3 linked regions of the Anolis sagrei genome follow. The main gene of each other region encodes a partner of the protein of the gene in region 3 in a complex. Links are inferred from orthologs where the notes say so. Each region holds a gene or a part of one and is shown on either strand. Other genes may lie near its edges. The genes, in order: SAP30, MIDEAS and DNTTIP1.

Region 1 (7,137 bases), on a different chromosome or scaffold from region 3:
ATGAATGTAGTTTTAACATCACTTTGTGGAATGTACGGCGAGAGAAGGCTGCAGACCTTGCAAAATTACAACTCCATTATATTAAGGCATTAGGGTGTTTCAATTATGAAAGGTAGAGGCAGCCTATGAGAGCAAGAAAAAAGCAAAATAACATCAAAGTAGCAATGCCATCAAGGAGGGAGAGAAGATGACAAAGAGCAGGTTTTTGCCGCGTCAGACATAAACAGCCGGATGCGGAATGAGATTTGCCCCAAGCTTTGGGGGATCCTATCTGCCAAACTCCTCATTCCTTTGCTGCATCTCTGTTTCCCTCTCAAGGAATGAAGTGGAAGGAGACTGTGGAGGGAAATGGGACAACAAAAAGTCATCGGGATTGGGATCGAAACACCTCAGATCTGGAGAAAGGACCCCCCTTGGAAAGGGGAATCTCTCTCTGTCTCTCTCCTTCCTCCATTGTGGCGGGATGGCTTTTGTTGCCTTCCTGTCTGCACTTCTTTGCCGTCCTGAGACATGAAGGAGGAGGGCGGGAAGTGAGAGACAGAGAGAGAAAGGGAACAGGCGGATGGCTTTGCACACTTGTTTTTTGCAAGGAGAAAAGAGCCGCAAAGGCAAGGAGAATGAGGCAAGGCAAACTTCAAGGAGAAACAAGGCGATGGGAGGAAGACTGCGAAACTGCACAAAGAACAAGACAATGGCCCCCTCCATAGTGCCAAATAATATAGTTGGAAATTGCATTGAGTGAGTGTAGACTCAAATAATGACTGTATACCAGGCATGGGCAAACTTTGGCCATCCAGGTGTTTGGACTCCAACTCCCACAATTCCTAACAGCCTACTGGCTGTTAGGAATTGTGGGAGTTGGAGTCCAAACACCTGGAGGGCCAAAGTTTGCCCATGCCTGGTATAAATAAGAAAATAATAAAACTTTATTTATATTCCGTCCGCTCAGGCGGATTCCAACATACATTCATAAAACAAGCAAGTCCCAGCATTACAACCTCAGAGAAACCCACAACACAAAAACAACATTGCAACTTAACAAGACTGGTTGTATGGCCAGTGGTGGTAATTGGGCCAACACGGACCAACAAAGCCAAGGTGTGAGATAGTTCTCAACCAGAGGCCCAGTAATGATCTCTCATTGTCTATGCAGTTTCCAACAGTTATTGGCCAGTGCAGATGGGATTAAAGTAAGCAGTGAAAGGCAATAAGAAGTGCAAAGAAAATGCAATGAAAATTTCAAGAGCAGACACATAAAATCCAGATGCTGTGCTTTGAACTGGATCATATGGCAGTGTAGAGACATATAATCCAGTTAGGATAATCTGGATTGTATGTGGCAGTGTAGAAGCGGGACCTGAGGGCCCTTCCAGACAGGCCTACCTCTCAGAATCTGACCCCAGGTTTTCTGCTTTAAACTGGACTATGAGTCCACACTGCCAGATAATCTGGGATAAACAGTAAACCTGGGATCAGACCCTGGGATATGGGGAAGTGTAGATTCAGCCTTAGGGCCCTTCTAGGCCAGCCCTTTATCCCAGGATCTGGTCTCAGGTTTTCTGCTTTAAACTGGATTATATGAGTTCACACTGCCAGATAAGCCAGGATAAACAGAAAATTTGGGATCAGATCCTGGGATATAGGGCGGCGTAGATACAGACTCAAGGCCCTTCCAGACAGGCCCTTTATCTTAGGAACTGATCACAAGTATTTTTGCTTTAAAGTGGATTATATGAGTGGGCGCTGCCAGATACACTGTACACTCAGAGTGCCACCAATTATCATGCAGTGCGGACACATATAATCCAGTTTAAAGCAGAAAATCTGGAAACTTGGGATCAGATCCTGGGATAATAGGGCCTGTCAGGAATATAACAGTAGGGGGGGGGGGGGAGGCAGTGCAAACTGCCCAAAAATAGAAAGAAGGCCGTGCAGTAAACGCAAAAGCAAGGAGAAAAACAATGCAAAGTGGAGAAAAAAACAATGCAAAGTGGAGAAAAAAACAATGCAAAGTGGAGAAAACAATGCAAAGTGGAAGACAAACAAGACAAAGTCTAAGCAGCATATAAGGCAAAGCAGGCTGCAAAAATGACCAATCCAAGTCGAAAGAGTTGGGGGAAAAAGCAAACTTCAAGGGGAACAAGTCAAAAGTGGGTGGGAGGAGATCAAAGCAAAGTCTGCAAAGGAGGGCAGGCAGGCACAATAACTCTCTTTTCCTGACCATGTTCTAGAAGCATGCTCTCCTGACGTTTCGCCTACATCTATGGCAAGCCTCAAGCCTCAGCCTCAGGCGAAACGTCAGGAGAGCATGCTTCTAGAACAACCGAAAAACCCAGTGATTCCAGCCATGAAAGCCAAGACTCACGCTCTTGTCCAGCTCGATCTTGACCTTCTTCTGGGAGATGCTCTTCTGGATGCGCTTGCTGAAGCTGGCGTTGCCCGCCGCCCGCCCGCACCGCTCGCCTTCCTCCCTCAGGCAGCACACTTGGCCCGCCCCGGGGCCCGAGCCAGCCGGAGCCGCCCCCGAAGAAGCAGACGGAGAGGAGGAAGAGGAGGCCACCGAGGAGGAGGCCATGCCCAGCCCGGGCGGAGGAGGAGGTGGAGGAAGGGGCAACGGAGGAGGAGGAGGTGGCGGCGGCAGAGGAAGGGCTTCCCCGGCATTGGCAACCAAGGCGGGGAGCGGGGCTTCTCCTGGCCCTCCTCCTCCTCCTCCTCGGGCCACGTCGTCGGGCCCGAAGCCATTCATCTCCGCGCTGTGTTTCGACAGTAAAGTCATTCAATACGGGGGAAGGCGTGTGTTGGTGCTGCTTGCTTGCTCAAGGCGAGACCCACCGCATTCCCTTTCCCGGCTTCGTCGGAGGGATATCAATCACCCCTTGGGGCACCGCGCGGCACTTTCCAGCACTCCTCTCCCCATTGCAGCAGCAACAACACTAAACCCCGGTAGAGCTGGCTCTGTTTTCCTCTCTCTCCTCTTTCTTTCCCCCCTCCCCTTTCGAATTCTCGCTATGCGCTCATGGGAAACGTAGTTCCTGTCTCTGTTTTTGCAGAAGGGATTAGACGCCTTTCAGGACTACCAATCCCAGAATGCAACGCTTTGCGAGATGTAGAAAAAAAAGGAACTCCTCCGCCGCCTCAGTGTGGTGGTGTATTTACAAAGCGGGCTTGTTTGCGCGCGCGCAGGCAGGCAGGCAAGGCTTGCGAAGGACACGTGACCCGCTTCCCTTTTTTTCTCCTCACCGGTTTTTGAAACCTTCGCTCGGATGCCATTTAAGTAAATGCCTCGTGACGTCTGAGCTTCAGACCCTCCCCCTCCTTCTCTTCCTCTCATGCGACCGGTTTTTTTTTGGAAAGGGGGGGAGGCTTTGAAAGCGGGAAGTTGGAAAAGACTGCTCTCTCCCATTGCAATGCAAAGCCTAGCCAACTCCTTTATGAGAACCACCACTCCTCTTGGCGTGCCCCCCCCCTCCCCAGCTTACTTACTTAGACGAGAAGGATAGTCTCCCAGGATCAGTATTCTTGTGGGTCCATAGGTGACTGTGGAGCCCTATTCTTGACCTGCATCTTCTCCCACAGTGAAGGCGTTGGTTTCCAGGTGGAAGGCGGTCTCGGCCGGGGTTGGCTCAACGGCCTTCCTCCTGGCACGTTTCTCTCTTTCACCCTCCATTCGTGCCTCTTCAAATTCTGCAGCACTGCTGGTCACGGCTGACCTCCAGCTGAATGCAATAACATCCTGTGGAAACTTACTGGCAGCACATGGGGTGCAGACCCAAAATTAATAAGAACATCAGCCCTGGCCTTGTCTTACTCAACTGCTGAGTATGCCTGCCCTGTTTGGCATAGGTCTGCCCATGCAAAGCAGGTGAACATAGCATTGAATGAAACTTGCAGAATAATCACAGGATGTCTTAAACCAGGGGTCAACAAACTTTTTAAACAGAGGGCCAGGTCACAGTCCCGCAAACTGTTGGAGGGCCGGATTATCATTTGAAAAAAAAAATGAATTAATTCCTATGCACACTGCACATATCTTATTTGTTGTGCAAAAATCACTTAAAACAATACAATAATTAAAATGAAGAACAATTTTAACAAATATAAACTTATTAGTATTTCAATGGGAAGTGTGGGCCTGCTTTTGGCTGATGAGATAGGATTGTTGTTGTTGTGTGCTTTCAAGTTGTTTCAGACTTAGGTTGACCCTGAACGAGGGCCGGGTAAATGACCTTGGAGAGCTATATCCGGGCCTTAGTTTGAGGACCCCTGTCTTAAACCTACACCTGTTGATAAACTCTACAAGCTAGCTGGCATTGCCCCTTTAAAAAGAGATTTAAAGATGGCTCAAAGCCAACTTTAAAAACTCTGTCATAGACTCTGGGAACTGGGAAGCCCTGGCCCTTGAGCACTCCAGCTGGAGGTCAGCTGTGACCAGCAGTGCTGCAGAATTTGAAGAGGCACAAATGGAGGGTAAAAGAGAGAAACGTGCCAAGAGGAAGGTGCATATACATAAACACATGCACGCATACATACACACATATACGCATGCACACACATATACACATGCATACACACATATAAACACACAAAAATACACATATGTACATATATACACACACACATATATGTACACACGTGCACACGTGTGTGTGTGTATATATGCAAACACACACACATATATACACATATATACACACACAAAACACATATACACAGACTGGGCCACAGCAAAGCATGACACGGGACAGCTAGCTATATATATAACACGTAACTAGTGGAGGCTTGAGAAGGTTACTATTTCCAACAGGCTTGTTGTGGAAACAGGGATTTATTTATTTTTTTGTCGTGTCAGGAGCGACTTGAGAAACTGCAAGTCGCTTCTGGTGTGAGAGAATTGGCCTTCTGCAAGGACTTTGCCCAGGGGATACCCGGATGATTTGATGTTTTTATCATCCTTGTGGGAGGCTTCTCTCATGTCCCCAAATGAGGAGCTGGAGCTGATAGAAGGAGCTCATCCGTCTCTCCCCGGATTTGAACCTGCAACCTGTCGGTCTTTAGTCCTGCCAGCACAGGGGTTTAATCCACTGCGCCACTGGAGGCTCACAGGGATTGGTGATAAAGCTTCAGTAGAGACCCTTTCCTCCCATGATAACTCAGGGGTGGCTATTTCTTCCTGAGGGTAGATTTTCTCATTTCCTGTTGTCTCATCCCCGTTCTTTGTAAGTTAGATGTTTGTAACTCAGGGACTGCCTGTACAATCATAAGCAATTTGGCAGGAAGACCTACTTGACAAATTTAAAAGACCCTTTTAAATGTTTTCTTACCTGTGGTGGCAGATATCACTAAAAATTATGCACAGAGCTTTTTTTCTCATCAGCTATTGTTAGTGTATTTTTGTATTGCTCAAGACAATCCTCTTCCTTCTGTGGTGCAAGGAAATTAAACGTTTGCTTACAACATTGCAAAGCTGTTTAGCTTAGGAAAGCACATGATGGAGGTGGACACGCAGTTGTCCCACTGTATTCAGAAATTCTGCACTAACAGATTCAATTATAACATATTCAGGGAGGGAAATCCAATAATCAACATTTTGATTTTGCCACATGCGAAGCACCATGGTAATGTATAGGCATATTCTCTTGTAACCTCCTGTCATTTCACAGATCCTCAACACTTGTTTGAGTTATTTGCCATTTTATTAAATTAATGTCATTTTACCATGTCATTTTAGATAATGGGATTTGAGCACCCACATATTTTGATATCCGTGGCGTGTGTGTGTTACTTGGAACCAAACCCCAGTGGATACCATGGGCCAACTGTAATTACCAGCTCCGGAAAATGGATAGTCCTGCAGAAGGGAAACAGCTGGTTCACAAATTTCAATAACAGAAGATTCCATAGAGACAAAAGGAGCTGTTCCTGCAACATAGGCCCCTTCCACACAGCCCTATATCCCAGAATATCAAGCCAGAAAATCCCACAATATCTGCTTTGAACTGGGTTATCTGAGTCCACACTGTCATATATTCCAGTTCAAAGCAGATATTGTGGAATTTTCTGTCTTGATATTCTGGGATATAGGGCTGTGTGGAAGGGTCCTAGGTCAATACTAGTGAGAGCTGCATGGTGTTGTGGTTTGGACATTGGATTACAACTATGATCATGGCTGAATACCCGATCAGCCACAGGAACCCAACAGGATGACCTTGAGCTAACCATAGTCCCTCTGCCACAGAGGAAGACATAAGGAAAATTATTTCTTAACAAATCTTACCAAGAAAACTCTGTGATAAGATCCCTGTAAGTTGGAAATGGCTGGAAGACAAACAAAAAAGGATAGTTATATAATTATATCTCCCAGCCTAGATTCTGTATGGTTTTACAAAAGCAGAAAAAAACATATCAGAACAGTTACACCACAGTTGTGGAAATTTCCTATCAGGCAACTAGATTGTTGGATAGGCATTGAGTTCACCTACTGCGCAACAACTGATTTGCTCCTCATTGATCAAGGCTCCTTCCACACAGCTAAAATCCACATTAAACTGGATTATATGGCATTGTGGACTCAGATAATCCAGTTCAAAACAGATATTGTGGATTATCTTCTTTTCTATTCTGGGTTATATGGCTGTGTGGAAGGGCCCCAAGTCAAAAGTGAAAGCTGCAAGTGGGCAGAGGGACCTTTCACACAGCTCTATATCCCAGAATATCAAGGCAGAAAACCCCACATTATCTGAGTGTGGACTCAGATAATCCAGTTCAAAGCAGAAATTGTGGATTATCTGCTTTGATATTCGAGGATATATGACTGTGTGGAAGGGTCCTTAGAAAATTATTAGCTGCATTAGGGAGTGTGTTTACACAACCTCTAAGACAATACAATGTTATCTTAAACTTAGTGCCCCAATCGGGTAGTAGTCTACCTCCAGTATTGAGTAAGTGGGCTTCTTTTGCTGTGGAGCGGAAAAGGGAAGAGATTGCTATTGTATATAGATACAGGACAACGTTTTGTATCCTCAGAACCATATACACTATTACACTCATCCACAATTTCACTTACTAAGTTCAGATCACCTGTATAAACTACATGATTTCAGTACTTTCATCATCCACTCCACAAAAAATTAATAATTT
Region 2 (7,940 bases), on a different chromosome or scaffold from region 3:
CAAGTATTTTGTGTTGGTGACACACCATTGCATCATTTACAACACAGGAATTGAGTTTCACTGGTAAACTGGAAGTTAAACCAAACCCTTATACGAGATGCAGACACATACATTATCTGTAAAAACGAAATGTATGAGGACGCAATATAACAGTATCTCATTAACACCTTTCATTTATGTTTTTTTAAATATATATTATTTGTACGATAATACACGTTTCCAAGATTTGGGTCATTTCTCGTGATGTTTGCGTGACACACCTACACATGTCACGAATGACTTGAGAAACTGCAAGTCGCTTCTGCTGTGAGAGAATTGGCAGTCTGCAAGGACGTTGCCCAGGGGATGCCCGGATGCTTTTTGATGTTTTACCATCCTTGTGGGAGGTTTCTCTCATGCCCCCACATGGGGAGCTGGAGCTGACAGAGGGAGCTCATCCATGCTCTCCCCAGATTTGAACCTCTGACCTTGTTGGTCTTCAGTCATGCCCTCACAAGGGTTTAACCCATTGCACCACCGGGCACTCCTGTGTCATGACACACAGTTTGGAAAGCTCTGTGCCACAAGCTTCCTTTGCAAAACCAAAAGCACCATGTGAGACTTCAGCGCAAGGGAGGGAAAAAAAATGTCCCGTGGGCTTCACAAGGCTTTAAAGCACCCAGTCCTTTGCACAGGCTTGTTAGAAAGCTTGCAAACCTTATGTAAGGTTGCAGGCGCCAGTGAGTGTTTTGGCCAGCTTAGTCAATCATGTGCCAAAAGAAACCCCTCCTCTTTCGTTTCCTGCTACAAACTTGAGAAATATGCTCCAATGAACATCTGTCAGGAGCCACGCAGAAAGCTTTTGTCCCACTGGGTCTTTAAAAAAAAAAGCATTCGGGGAGCGGGGAGCGGGGAGGGGGGGGGGAAGCAAGCCTATTTAAGTCTCAGAGGAGACGTCTGATCCCTACAGACTGGAGATGATTTGTCTCAAGGCAGCGCCTTCTGTCTCCTTCCTGCAAACGTGTCCCATATTTGGAAGACCTACTTTGACACTTTCCGTCCTCCCTCCCCCTGCAATGGAAGCAGCCTTTTTCCACACTTGTGGGTGGAAAGAGCAGAAACCACTGTGGATAAAAAGGGGAGGGTGTTCCAACCGCAACAAGCTACCTAGTTTATTTTATTTGCTTTATTGATTTCGTAACAAAAGCATTGCATAAATTAGTATAAATCTGATAAAAATAGAAGGCGTGCAGGCGGCTAAATATCTTTTGACCAAAAACAGGCAACAGCAATGGCATTGTCTGTAGCCTCCAACAATTCCTCCTCTGTACATGAGGCAGGGCACAATGGACAAGCATACAAATGTGGAGCTGTCTGTTCTGCTCCACAGTCACACAAGGTTTGGGCTTCTTTTAGGTAATGCCATTTTGCCAGATTGTCTTTTGATCTGCCCACTCCACTTCTGAGTCTGTTCAGGGACTTCCAAGATGTTCATTCCTGGTTAGCTGCCCTGAGGGATACCCTTGCTGTTGCTAGAGGGATGCCAAGAGGAGTGGTAGTTCTCATAAAGCTTTTCCTTGATTTGAGTCTGTTGGGAGGAGACTGGTAGCCATGTAGTAGATGGCTTTTACAGTGTTCAACCTTATTTCTCTCACATCGAGGGGGAGGGGGGCACTGCCAACTAGCTTATAGAGTTTATCAACAGGTGTAGGTTTAAGACATTCTGTGATTATTCTGCATGTTTAGTTCAATGCTACGTTCACCTGTTTTCATGGGCAGACTTATGCCAAACAGGACAGGCATATTCGGCAGTTGAGTAAGACAAGGCCAAGGATTATGTTCTTATTAATTTTGGGTCTGCACCAAAATTTGATTCGCTGAAGGTGCATCTACAATAGGTATGGGCAAACATTGGTCCTCCAGGTGTTTTGGACTTCGACTCCCACTATTCCTAACAGCCTCAGGCCCCTTCCTTTTCCCCCTCAGACTATATATTATATAGTCAGTGTAATAAATCCATATAATGCAGTTCAAGGCAATGTAGATCTATTCCCAATTGGGAAGATGAAATAAAACAACTTCCAGTCTCACTTGGTGCATCTACACTGTGGAATGAATGCAGTGGTACCACTTTTACTGCCAAGGCTCAATGCTATGGAATCTTGGGAGTTTAGTGACTCCCCAGGAAAGGCTAAAGACCTTGCAGAACTACAGCTCCCAGGATTCCATCGCATTGAGCCATTTTGCAGGGAAAGCTAAAGACTTTGCAGAAATACAGCTCCCAAGTTTCCATAGCATTGAACCATTTGGCAGGGAAAGCCAAAGACCTTGTAGAACTACAGCTCACAGGATGCCATTGCATTGAATCATTTGGCAGGGAAGCCTAAGGACCTTGCAGAACTTGCAGAACTACAGCTCCTAGGATTCCATCGCATCGAGCCATTTAGCATGGAAGGCTAAGGACCTTGCAGAACTATAGCTCCCAGGATTCCATCTCACTGAGCCTTTTGGCAGGGAAGGCTAAAGACCCTGCAGAACTACAGCTCCCAGGATTCCATAGCATTGAGCCATTTGGCATGGAAGGCTAAAGACCTTGCAGAACCTTGCAGAACTAAAGCTCCCAGGATTCCATAGTATTGAACCATGGCATTTCCGAGTCGTGTCAAACTGCATTCATTCTACAGTGTGAAGATGCACCCAAGAGGGGGGGGGGGGGGGGGACAAAGCAAAGCAGCTGGAGTGTCAGCCTTTCTGTATCTTCATCCCCGGGAGTGTTTTAAAGCGGAATAATAGTGCGATCACAGTGCAAAGCCTTCCGCCCCGAACGCCACTCACTGCAAACCTGTTCCTGCTCCTCTTCCTCCTTTTCAAAAGTTTTCCCTTGTCTGTTTACATAAGCGCAGGCTCAGCTGCATGCAGGCTTGCTTCTCAACTTTTACCCCGGAGAGAGAAAGCAGGACATCTGCCCAAACTGGGAAAGCCATGACCCCAGGATCCCCTCCCCACCCCGAAGGGTCGCTTACCTTGATCTGCTGCTCCTGAGTCGCCCCAGGAGCCAAATTTGAGGCCCTCCGTTGCCTCCTGCTAGTGCTGCTGCTGCTGCTGGGGAGGCGTCACTTCCTAGAGCAGCCCTGGGGCAGAGGTTTGGGGGCTGGGCTCCCCGAGAGGCCCTCTCAAGCCCCGCCCCGTCTGCCCACCCTCCCCACCTCACCCGCCTAGTGACTTCTGCTGTGGCTGTATCTGCAATATCTGCATATGGTCAGTGCATCATATGGGCAGTGGAGCTCTATGTAATGCAGAATTAAATGCATTATATGAGTCAAAAATACAGCTTAATGGCAGAAATACAGCTTAATGGTGTAACATTAGAAAATGTTGACCATTTCCACTACCTTGGCAGCCACCTCTCCACAAAAGTCAACATTGACACTGAAATACAACACCACCTGAGCTCTGCGAGTACAGCATTCTTCTGAATGAAGCAGAGAGTGTTTGGGAACAGGGACATCCGTAGGGATGCCAAGGTGCTTGTTTATAAAGCTATTGTCCTCCCAACTCTGCTATACGCCTGCAAGACGTGGACTGTCTACAGATGTCATATGCAACTCCTGGAACAATTCTATCAGCACTGCCTCCAGAAAATCTTGCAAATCTCTTGGGAAGATAAGCGGACAAATGTCAGCGTGCTGGAAGAAGCAAAGACCACCAGCATTGAAGCGATGGTCCTCCGCCATCAACTTTGCTGGATTGGCCACGTTGTCCGGATGCCCGACCACTGTCTCCCAAAGCAGTTGCTCTACTCCAAACTCAAGAACGGAAAACGAAATCTTGGTGGGCAGGAAAAGAGATTTAAATATGGGCTCAATGCCAGCCTTAAAAATCTCTGGCATAGATACTTAGAACTGGGAAGCCCTGGCCCTTGAACGCTCCAGCTGGAGGTCAGCTGTGACCAGCAGTGTTGTAGAATTTGAAGAGGCACGAATGGAGGGCAAAAGAGAAAAACGTGCCAAAAGGAAGGCGTGTCAAGCCAACCCCGACCAGGACCACCTTCCACCTGGAAACCAATGCCCTCACTGCGGGAGAAGATGCAGATCAAGAATAGGGCTCCACACTCACCTACGGACCCGCCGCCAGTACAGCAGTCTCGGAAGACAATCCTACTCGGACAACGAGGGATTGCCTAAGTAAGTAAGTACATTGCTTTAGACTTGGTTTAGTTGCCATCAACTCGTTGTTGTTAATTGCATTCCTGTTCCAGGTGCCAATGCACTTTTAATCTTGCAATAATGTGTGAGTGAGTTGCAGTTGCTGCTCACGCTCTCTCATTTATTTTTGACGCCTAACTCTTCTTTGCATATGTTCATCTTAGGTTTTTTGTTTTTTTTAAATATTGCCCTGGAAGCCCTGTTGATTTCTAACAGCACACATTATTGCTGTTGCATATGGAGTTAAAATGTGTCACTCTGTCAGCTGCCAACACAAAATGTTCCTTTTACTGACAGGTGACTACTTGTGCTCCCAAATCTTTTGAAGTGTAGGTAAATGTGAGTCAGAGGTATATTTAAACATTTCAGTATTGGCTCTGATAAGGATGAAATGGCTTTTGTTGCAAGGCTCTGGAAGAACGTGCACAATAAATATGTTCTAGTCCTCACAGGATTTGAAATAAGCAAAACAAGAGCAGAATATTTCAACCTTCATGTTGTTACCGCATCACATTACTAAATGTAGAAGTGCCCCAGTGGTGCAATGCGTTAAACCCTTGTGCCAGCAGAACTGCTGACCTGAATGTTGAGTTGTTGACCTGAAGGTTGCCAGTTCAAATCTGAGAGAGCAGATGAGCTCCCTCTGTCAGCTCCAGCTTCCCATGCAGGGACATGAGAGAAGCTTCCCACAAGGATGGTAAAACATTAAAACATCAAAACATCGGGTGCCCCTTGGGCAATGTCCTTGCAGATGGCCAATTCTCTTACACCAAAAGCTACTTGCAGTTTCTCAAGTTGCTCCTGTAAAGAAAGATTTACTAAATGTAGAATATAAAGATATCACTCCTAGGGGGCAGATAAATATCTGCTGTATTTTCTGGTGTATAAGACTACTTTTTAACCCAGGAAAATCTTCTCAAAAGTCGGGGGTCGTCTTATATGCCGGGTGTAGTCTTATGGGGTGGGTGCAGAAACTTCCAAGCTGGACTGGAAAATCTGCGGTCGTCGCATATGTTTGGGGGGAGCTCAAAAACGGCCATGGCTGCATCACCACCATATGCAGTGACTGTCTAAAAGCAGCAAGAGGGGCGCTATACAAGTACGGTAGAAGAAAATCCACTCACCAAGATTCATGTAAAGAAGCGACTTGACGAGGTCCTGATGATGAGATGAGGGGGCACCTCACCGGGAAGGTGTAAGTGAAGGGGGAAGCAAACTTCAGGCATCTGGGATGTCCGAGGTATGGAAAAAAGAGATAAAGTGGTGCTGTGCCCAGAAAAACACTCCTCTTTCACCCATCTGGCCTGCCCTTGTATCCTATTATCGTACCTCCTTCTCTGCCTTTCAGATCTTGCTCCTGAGGACTACAGTGAAGTACCACAGGCATGCTTGTTTGAGATCTAAGAGGCAGAGAAGGAGGTATGGCAATAGGAAAATTACCATATTGAAATCAAATCTGATGTTTTTAAAAATTTTATTTGGTGTGCATTGGAAGAGGGGTAGTCTTATACAGCGAGTAATTTATTTATTTATTTATTTATTTATTTACAGTATTTATATTCTGCCCTTCTCACCCTGCAGGAGACTCAGGGTGGATCACAATGCACATATATATGGCACACATTCAGTGCCATAGACACACAACATATGTAGATAGACACACAGAGGCTATTTAACTTCCAGCTTCATGAGGGTGTGAAGCTGTCACTTCACTGTCCACTTGTGACACTGATGGAGTACTTCCTAATTCTTTTGCATGCTGCTGGAGATTTTTATGGCGTTGTAAATTAGTTAAATTAGCCTCCCCTCATAAGCGGTACCTAAATTTCCTACTTGACAGATGCAATTGTCTTTCAGGCTGCAAAGGTTGACAGCAAGCTAGACAAATGGTTGGGAGCTTACTTCGACCCGGCTGGCTTCGAACTAATGACCTTTTGGTCAGTAGTGATTTTAATGCAGCTGACTCCCAACCAGCTGTGCCACAACTCGGTCCTATATTCCAAACTCTATAGTTTAACTGGAAAAGTTGAGGATCGTCTTATACTCCCAGTCATCTTATATGCCAGAAAATACAGTATCTCAGGATGTGTTGTATTTCAGTGTCAATGTTGACTTTTATGGAGAGGTGGCTGCCAAGGTACTCCACTGGCTACCGATGAAGAACTGTAGAGAACATAGGAAGCATCTACACTGCAGAAGTAATGCAGTTTGAGACTGTAGAGATATGTTTATTATAAAGTGTTTATTATACTGTGTTTAAACTGTATTTGTGGTTTACATTTGTTGCCATGGCCTAGCTGTGAGGGATAGGTTGCCATGGTGACAAGACAAGGCAGAGGAGGTGGGCGGAGCTTAAGGAGAAAAAGGTTTGAAAGTGACAGTTAATTTTCAGTCAGGAGGATGAGACCCTGAGAGGAGGAGCAGAGTCAGATAGGACTCTGGGAGAGTAGCAGAGTCAAGAAAGGACTCTGGGAAAGTAGCAGAGTCAAGATAGGACTCTGGAAAAGTAGTTTGAGTCAGGAGGATGAGACCCTGAGAAGAGGGCAGAGTCAGTTAGGGCTCTGTGGTGTGAAGCAGTATAGATTCAGTTAGTTTTAGTGTTTGTGAATATTTCTTCAGCAAGGGAGCTGAAGGGAAAACCTCGTTAGATTACTTTGAGGAAAAAGAATCTAACAGAGGAGGTTTTAGGATCGCCAGTAGTGTAAGACTGGAGATCAGTGGTTTGATCCTGTATAGGACAAACAGTGTGAATATTCACAACAAGGAACACTGAAATAATAAAGTACTTCACTGAAGAAGGAGTTTATAAGATTGTAACATCTAAAGCCTGAATGTATCTCGACCAAGCCATATTGTAACCACCAAGCATATGCCAAGCTCTACATCTCAATATTGCAACAATTACGCTTTGTTTAACAATAAACTTGTTCTCTTTGTATTTTAAACCTGCCTCCTCCATTAATTTTACGTTTGGTGCATTCCACTCTACCAAAGTTACCTGACAACGCAAATAGGGATAAACAGAGACTTTAAGACCAGCGTCTCTAAACATATTGGTGGCAGTTTAATTTAATAGCAGTCTAGGAACTTCCTTACATTTTTGGTAATCCCATTTGGTGGGATTAACACCACGTCTTTACATTTTTGGTGGCATTGATACGTTCTTTTACATTTTTGGTGGCATCTAGTGGGATTAGTGCTTCTTTACAGAGACCCTTTTCACTGCCATGGCTTAATGTTATGGAATAATGGGAAATGCAGTTTTGCAAGGTCTTTAGCCTTCTCTGCTCTGCCAAACTCCAAATTCCAGGAGTACATAGCATAGAGCCATGGCAGTTAAAGTGGTATCGAACTGCATGAGTTCTACAGTGACGATGCACCCATAACCACAACACTGTTATCCCTACTGTAACATTTATATTTGTAACATTAAGTGGTAAATGGAGTACTCTGTTACTTACCACAAATTATTTTGTGACATGGATGATTGTGTGGCTCCCTTCCTTTCCAATTCTTCTCCTCTAAACTCATATTTTAGTGTGTTTTTTTTCCTTTTCTCAGTGCTGCAGCAGCTGTTGTTGCCATGCTCTCCATTCTGTTGCTATGATTTGCAGGGTTTGTGTATTTGCCAGGCTATGATTCTGCCATATGAACAGTAATGATGTTCATTCTACAAGTACCTCTCCCACAGATAATATCTTTCATTTTCCAAATAAACAATATAAGTTTTGGGATGGTTCCTTTGAAAACACAAAA
Region 3 (7,007 bases):
TGACCCCTTGAGATGGAAGCCCCCCCCCCCCCCCCCCCAGTGCCAAGGGCCCCAGTTGCACACCTTCATGTACTTCCCAAAGACGGCCTGGATCTCCTCGTTGATGGTGGGCTGCAGGACGGCTCGCAGCAGGTCCATGGAAACAACGGGGTCTGTGAAGCTGGAGATGGGGGGGGGGGAGGACAAGGGGTCAATGGCTGGACCACAATGCCTCTCCTGGGAGGAGGAGGAGGAGGAGGCAAGGAAGGGGGGGGTCTCTGTACCTGGTCATCATCTGGGAGCGCCGCCCGCGCCGCTGGACCAGCCGGTGCTTGATCATGATGTTCCAGGGACTCTGTGGGAAGAAACCAGAGGTGGATGGGTGCACGCTGGTTTGAGTACATCCACACGGCAGAACGAAAGCACCTTGAGTCCTCTTTCATGCCATGGAGTTCTGGCCTTAAACCTTATCTGTCAAAGACTTCTAGTGCCTCACCAAACTACAACTCCCAGGGCTCTGGAGCATTGCGCCTTGGCATTAAAAGTGACACCACAGCTGCATTCATTCTATAGTGTACAGCAGGCATGGGCAAACTTGGGCTCTCTAGGGGTTTTGGGCTTCAAGTCCCACAATTCCCAACAGCCAGTAGCTGGAAGTTGAAATCCAAAACACTTGGAAGGCCCAAAGATTGCCCATGCCTGCTGTGGAATAATGTCCAGGGTGGGACAAAGGACTCTTGTCTGCTGGAGCTAGGTGTGAATGTTTCAACTGACCACCTTCATTAGCATTTGAAGGCCTGGCTGAGCCTGGGGAAATCTTATGTTGAGAGGTGTTAAGATGCGCCTGGTTGTTTCCTCTCTGCTGTTTTGCTGTTGTAATTTTAGAGTTTTTAAATACTGGCATCCAGATTTTGTTCATTTTCATGGTCTCTTCCTTTCTGTTGAAATTCCCCACCTGCTCCTTGTGGATTTCAATGGCTTCTCTGTGTAGCCTGACATGGAGGTTGTGAGAGTGGTCCAGCGTTTCTGTGTTCTCAAATAATATGCTGTGTCCAGGCTGGTACATCAGGTGCTCTGCTATGGCTGACTTCTCTGGTTGAAGTAGTCTGCAGTGCCTTTCATGCTCCTTGATTCGTGTCTAGGCAATAATGCATTTGGGGGTCCCTATGTAGACTTCTTGTCCACAGCTGCATGGTATACAATGGTAGACTCCTGCAGAAGCGAGAAGATCCCTCTTGTTCTTTGCTGGATGAAGCATTTGTTGGATTTTCTTGGTGGGTCTGGAGATAGTTTGTATGTTGTGTTTCCTCCTCAGCTTCCCTCTGCGGTCCACTCAGAGGAAAAGTGTTCCTGCCATACATCAAGGGAACCACTGGCTGCATAGGGAAGCCATTGAAATCCACAAGAAGCATGTGGACAATTTCAACAGAAAGGAGGAAACCATGGAAATGAACAACATCTGGCTACCAGTATTAAAAAACTCTAAAATTACAACAGCAAAACAGCAGAGAGGAAACAACCAGGCGCATCTTAACACCTCTCAACAAAAGATTCCCCCAGGCTCAGCCAGACCTTCTAATGCTAATGGAGGTGGTCAGTTGAAACATTCCCATCTAGCTCCATCAGACAAGAGTCATTTGCCCCACTCTGGTCATTCCACAGATATATAAACTCATTTTCCTAGTTCCAACAGACCTCACTACCTCTGAGGGATGCTTGCCATAGATGCAGGTGAAACGTCAGGAGAAAATGCCTCTAGAACATGGCCACATAGCCCGAAAAAACTCACAAGAACTTTGTTTATGATGATAGTTCCCGGCTCAGGAAGGACATCCCTTCCCAACTGGGCCTCTCACAGGCCTGGGCCAACTTATGCCCTCCCTCCCTCCCTTCAGGTGTTTTAGACTCCAGTTCCCATCATTCCTAACAGGTGGAGTCCAAAATACCTGGCAGGAGGGAGGGAGGGAAGGAGGGCCTGTGAGAGACCTGGTTGGGAAGGGATGTCCTTCCTGAGCCGGGAACACAAACCTTGTTGTTATAGTTTTGTCAGTTTGCTAATAATATCAAATATACTAATATAGTAATTAATAATGATAGTTTTGGTTGTGTAGTGAAACCTTTCCCATGTGGTGATGATGCTAGAGCAGGCCTGGGACAACTTCAGCCCTCCCTCCCTCCCGCCAGGAGTTTTGGACTACAACTCCCAGAATTCCTAAGAGCCTACCGGCTCTTAGGAATTCTGGGAGTTGTAGTCCAAAACCCCTGGCGGGCGGGCGGGCGGGCGGGAGGGCTGAAGTTGTCCAGGCCTCTGAAGTCCTTCCTAAGCCAGGCACACCAATGCTAGGCTTACCTCTGCCGGCTCTTAGGAATTCTGCCTCCCACCCGCCAGTTGTGTTTTGGACTACAACTCCCAGAATTCCTAATATCAAATATAATAATATAGTAATTAATAATGATAGTTTTGGCTGTGTAATGAAACCTTTCCCATGTGATGATGATGCTAGAGCAGGCCTGGGACAACTTCAGCCCTCCCTCCCTCCCGCCCGCCAGGGGTTTTGGACTACAACTCCCAGAATTCAGGAAGTTGTAGTCTAAAATACAACTGGCGGGAGGGCTGAAGGATATGTGTTTATGATGACAGTCCAGGCCTGGGCCAACTTAGGCCCTGCCTCCCGCCCGCCAGTTGTGTTTTGGACTACAACTCCCAGAATTCCTAAGAGCCTACCGGCTCTTAGGAATTCTGGGAGTTGTAGTCCAAAACACACCTGGCGGGCGGGAGGGAGGGCCTAAGTTGGTCTAGGCCTGTGATGTCCTTCCTAAGCCAGGCACACACCTCTGCCGCGGTGCATGCTGGGCTGGGGCGCCCCCTCCCTCCCCCTGGTATCCCGGCAACCGCCCCGCCCCCCCTCACCGCCAGCTCCTCCTCTTCCTCGTCTTCCTCTCCCTCTTCTTCCTCTTCCTCCTCCTCCTCGTCCTCCTCCTCCTCTTCCCCGGCCTCGGCCTCGGGCTGCTCGGTCTCGCGGGCGGCCCCCATCCGCTCACTCCCTGACTGACTCCCTCGCGCAGCAGCCACGCCCCCCTCCACGGCCACGCAGGGACGTCATCACCCCGCGCCCGGCACGACCCGGAAGTGGGGCCGTTGCTTGGAAACCGAGGGAAGCAGGCCTCTCCTGAAGGAAAAGCCGGGCAATGGCTACTCGAAGGCTTTCATGGCCGGAATCACTGGGTTGTGGCAGGTTTTTTCAGGCTATAGGGCCATGCTCTAGAGGCATTCTCTCCTGACGTTTCGCCTGCATCTATGGCAAACATCCTCAGAGGTAGTGAGGTCTGTTGGAACTAGGAAAAAGGGTTTATATATCTGTGGAATGACCAGGGTGGGACAAAGGACTCTTGTCTGCTGGAGCTAGGTGTGAATGTCTCAACTGACCACCTTGATTAGCATTTGATGATCTGGCAGTGCCTGGGGCAAACTTTTGTTGAGAGGTGATTAGATGTCCCAGATTGTTTCCTCTCTAGTTGTTTTGCTGTTGTAATTTTAGAGTTTTTTAATACTGTATTGTCGAAGGCCTTCATGGCCGGAATCACTGGGTTGTTGTAGGTTTTTTCGGGCTGTATGGCCATGTTCTAGAGGCATTCTCTCCTGACGTTTCGCCTGCATCTATGGCAAGCATCCTCAGAGGTAGTGAGGTCTGTTGGAACTAGGAAAAATGGGTTTATATATCTGTGGCATGACCAGGGTGGGACAAAGGACTCTTGTCTGCTGGAGCTACGTGTGAATGTTTCAACTGACCACCTTGATTAGCATTTATTTATTTATTTATTTATTTGGGGTGCTTCTATCCCACCCTTCTCAACCTCCTCGGGGGGACTCAGGGCGGCTTACAAAAGGCACAATTCGATGCCTAACAATTCACAAAATACAATACAATATACAATACACAAATTTACCATATAATATCACAGTTATAGCTAATTAAAACAATCAACAGTATACTATCATGAATAAAAACATCTTGTGGTCAGTGTTCACCAAATCCAAGCCCGTAAACCATTTATCATCGTCATTGTCCTTTCCTACTCTGGTCATTATTGGTTGTCTTTGTCCATCTGCCACATCCAGGTCTTTAGCTTCCTTCTGAAGGAGAGGAGGGATGTTTGATGGCCTGACAGTGCCTGGAGCAATCTTTTGTTGAGAGGTGATTAGATGTCCTTGTTTGTTTCTTCTCTGTTGTTTTGCTGTTGTAATTTTAGAGTTTTTTTTTAATATTGGTAGCCAGATTTTGTTCATTTTCATGGTCTCTTCTTTTCTGTTGAAATTGTCCACCTGCTTCTTGTGGATTTCCATGGCTTCTCTGTGTAGTCTGACATGGTGGTTGTGAGAGTGGTCCAGCATTTCTGTGTTCTCAAATAAGAATATGCTGTGTCCAGGGTGGCAGTCGAACCAGAATGGGTGGAAGGCGTTCTGGGGGCGGGATGGCCGGCCTTCAGGCTTAGTTTCTCTCCCGGCCCACCTCTCTCTCTCTCTCTCTCTCTCTCTCTCTCTCTCTCGCCTGGGCCTACTTCGGATCCCCTTCCTTCCTTCCTTTCCTCCTTCTCTCCAGGCGCTTTGGACTTGCATTCCTACCACCATTCCTCACAGACTGTGGTGCTTTCTCGTGGTTCAGTTTGCTCCAACCCACACTCTTTCAGGCACAAAATTGTTTTTAAAGGTATTCCTCTGAACATGAGGAAAAACTTCCTGACTGTGAGAGCCGTTCAGCTGTGGAACTCTCTGCCCCAGAGGGAGTGCGGTGGAGACTCTTTGAAACAGAGGCTGGATGGCCATCTGTCAGGGAAGGGTTTGGTGGGCCATTGACCTTCAGTTTGGGAGTTGTAGTTCACCTACATCCAGAGACCACTACAGACTCAAACAATGATGGATCTGGACCACACTTGGCAAAAGCACTCAATACACCCAGATATGAACACAGATGGAGTTTGCGGGAAATAGACCTTGACATTTGGGAGTTTTCGTTACTGGGATTTATGGTTCACCTGCAATCAAAGAGTATTCTGAACCCCACGAAAGACAGAATCAGGGCAAACTTCCCACACAGAACCCCCATGACCAACAGAAAATACTTGAGGCCATCCAATCCAGCTCCCTTCATCAGGGCAAGAAAATGTAATCAAAGTCCTCCTCACAAAGACCCATCCAGCCATAGCCATAGATAGATAGATAGCTAAATAGATAGATATGATTCACACACAGAGATATAGTATCATAGATTTGAAAGGGACGCTTAAAGAAGGACAACTATATGTTGCATGTTCCAGGGTGGGCAAACCAGACAATCTCTACGTCAACACTGACAAAGAAACAGCAAGAAATACTGTTTACCCACAAGCAGAACGAAATTACATTTATTAGAAACCAACACTTTCTCATTACTTTATTTGCCAGATCAACAGACGGCCACAGCAACGCCTGGCAGGGGACAGTTAGTTACATCGATGCTGGGTCCAGGGCTCCTCCTCAGGGTCAGCTAGACATCAGAGTCACCTAGCCAGGGTTGACATATCTCGGAAGGCGTATCGTAAATGTCATCAGAGGATCGGTATTTAGCACCCATTGGCTTATTGGTTTATCTACCCATAACCCATCCATGTTTAGGTCAGTTAATACAAGTTCCCAATGTTAGCTGACTAAATGTAGACCAATGGTTCTCAACCTGTGGATCCTCAGGAGTTTTGGCCTACAACTCCCAGAAATTTCAGCCAATAGACCAGCTGTTGAAGGCCAAAACACCTGGGGACTTGCAGGTTGAGAACCACTGATGTAGACCTTGCATATACCAAAAAAACATATTGGAGATCCAAATACATTGTATTGTGGTATCTCTACTCTGTGGCTGGGAAATCAGCTCCCATATATTGGCACTTTTACAGCATAGTTTTATATGGGGGGGACATAAATTATTTCTTACCATGTAGTAGTATTGTGATGAGAAACTAACTGTGACAGTTCTGAGCTACACTTTTATAGTTAACGCTCACAAAAGTCACAGAAAAAGTACTATTTGGGTCAGTTAATGATGGTCTATGTGGTCTCTTCCAACTCTGTTATCCTAGAATTCCAATATCACCCTCCTCGTCACTTTGGCCATCAACTCCTGGTCGATAAACATCCCATCTTATCATACAGTCTTTCACTTGCTCATCTTCCAACTGAAATGTATTTTACCAATATTACCAATTATCTGTTTATTTATTTATTTATTTATTTCTTGCATTTATTGACCGCCCCTCTCAGCCCGAAGGCGACTCGGGGCGGTGAACAACAACAAAGAAGACAATGTACAGTGAACCGTGACAATACTAATCAGACAAATACAACATAACACACACCTATACTAAAAATCCGCTTCGTCAAGTCCTGGGGTCATAAGCAAAGTCGTAGTCCTGGTTCATTCCATTTTCATTCACTACACTCAACTGAAGGCCTGCTCGAAGAGCCATGTTTTCAGGCCCCTACGAAAGGCCATCAAGGAGGGCGCCTGTCTAACTTCAGCAGGGAGGGCGTTCCATAGCCGAGGGGCCACCACCGAGAAGGCCCGCTCCCTCGTCCCCGCCAGACGTGCCTGTGAGGCAGGCGGGACCGAGAGAAGGGCCTCCCCGGATGATCTCAAGGCCCTCGTGGGCTCATAGGCCGAGATGCGGTCTGCAAGGTATTTTGGGCCGGAACCGTTTAGGGCTTTGTAGGAGAGCACCAGCACCTTGAATTGGGCCCGGTAGCAGATCGGCAGCCAGTGGAGCTGGGACAGCAGGGGCGTTGTATGCTCTCTGCGTCCAGCTCCCGTTAACAACATGGCTGCCGCGCGCTGGACTAGCTGGAGCTTCCGGACCGTCTTCAAGGGCAGCCCCACGTAGAGAGCGTTGCAGTAGTCGAGGCGGGATGTGACCAAAGCATGTACCACCGTGGCCAAGTCAGACTTCCCAAGATACGGGTTCACAATATGTGTGTCAGGTTAAACGCTTCTACACCAATT

The links.
Region 1: DNTTIP1 (region 3) and SAP30 share a complex: the UniProt entries of both Homo sapiens proteins name them as parts of the histone deacetylase complex. The link is inferred for Anolis sagrei from reciprocal best matches to the Homo sapiens genes DNTTIP1 and SAP30.
Region 2: the proteins of DNTTIP1 (region 3) and MIDEAS are in contact, whole or in part, in a cryo-EM structure (PDB 6Z2J), measured with the Homo sapiens proteins. The link is inferred for Anolis sagrei from reciprocal best matches to the Homo sapiens genes DNTTIP1 and MIDEAS. Residues at the interface, in NP_443183.1 of Homo sapiens: Pro63, Ser66, Leu69, Leu70, Ala72, Val73, Leu74, Pro76, Ser77; in NP_001036783.1 of Homo sapiens: Gln768, Asp771, Leu772, Thr774, Ala775, Ser778, Ser779, Ile802, Leu803, Leu806.

The regions. Positions count from the first base shown.
Region 1 is NC_090025.1:60,585,830-60,592,966, reverse strand, and holds the start of SAP30 (histone deacetylase complex subunit SAP30), read right to left. Parts: upstream 3,005-7,137; 5' UTR 2,777-3,004; coding exon 2,366-2,776; intron 1-2,365. UniProt on the Homo sapiens protein: Involved in the functional recruitment of the Sin3-histone deacetylase complex (HDAC) to a specific subset of N-CoR corepressor complexes. Capable of transcription repression by N-CoR.
Region 2 is NC_090021.1:286,468,814-286,476,753, forward strand, and holds the start of MIDEAS (mitotic deacetylase-associated SANT domain protein), read right to left. Parts: upstream 3,100-7,940; 5' UTR 3,003-3,099; intron 1-3,002.
Region 3 is NC_090024.1:248,956,289-248,963,295, forward strand, and holds the start of DNTTIP1 (deoxynucleotidyltransferase terminal-interacting protein 1), read right to left. Parts: upstream 3,063-7,007; 5' UTR 3,014-3,062; coding exon 2,891-3,013; intron 335-2,890; coding exon 264-334; intron 161-263; coding exon 64-160; intron 1-63. UniProt on the Homo sapiens protein: Increases DNTT terminal deoxynucleotidyltransferase activity (in vitro). Also acts as a transcriptional regulator, binding to the consensus sequence 5'-GNTGCATG-3' following an AT-tract.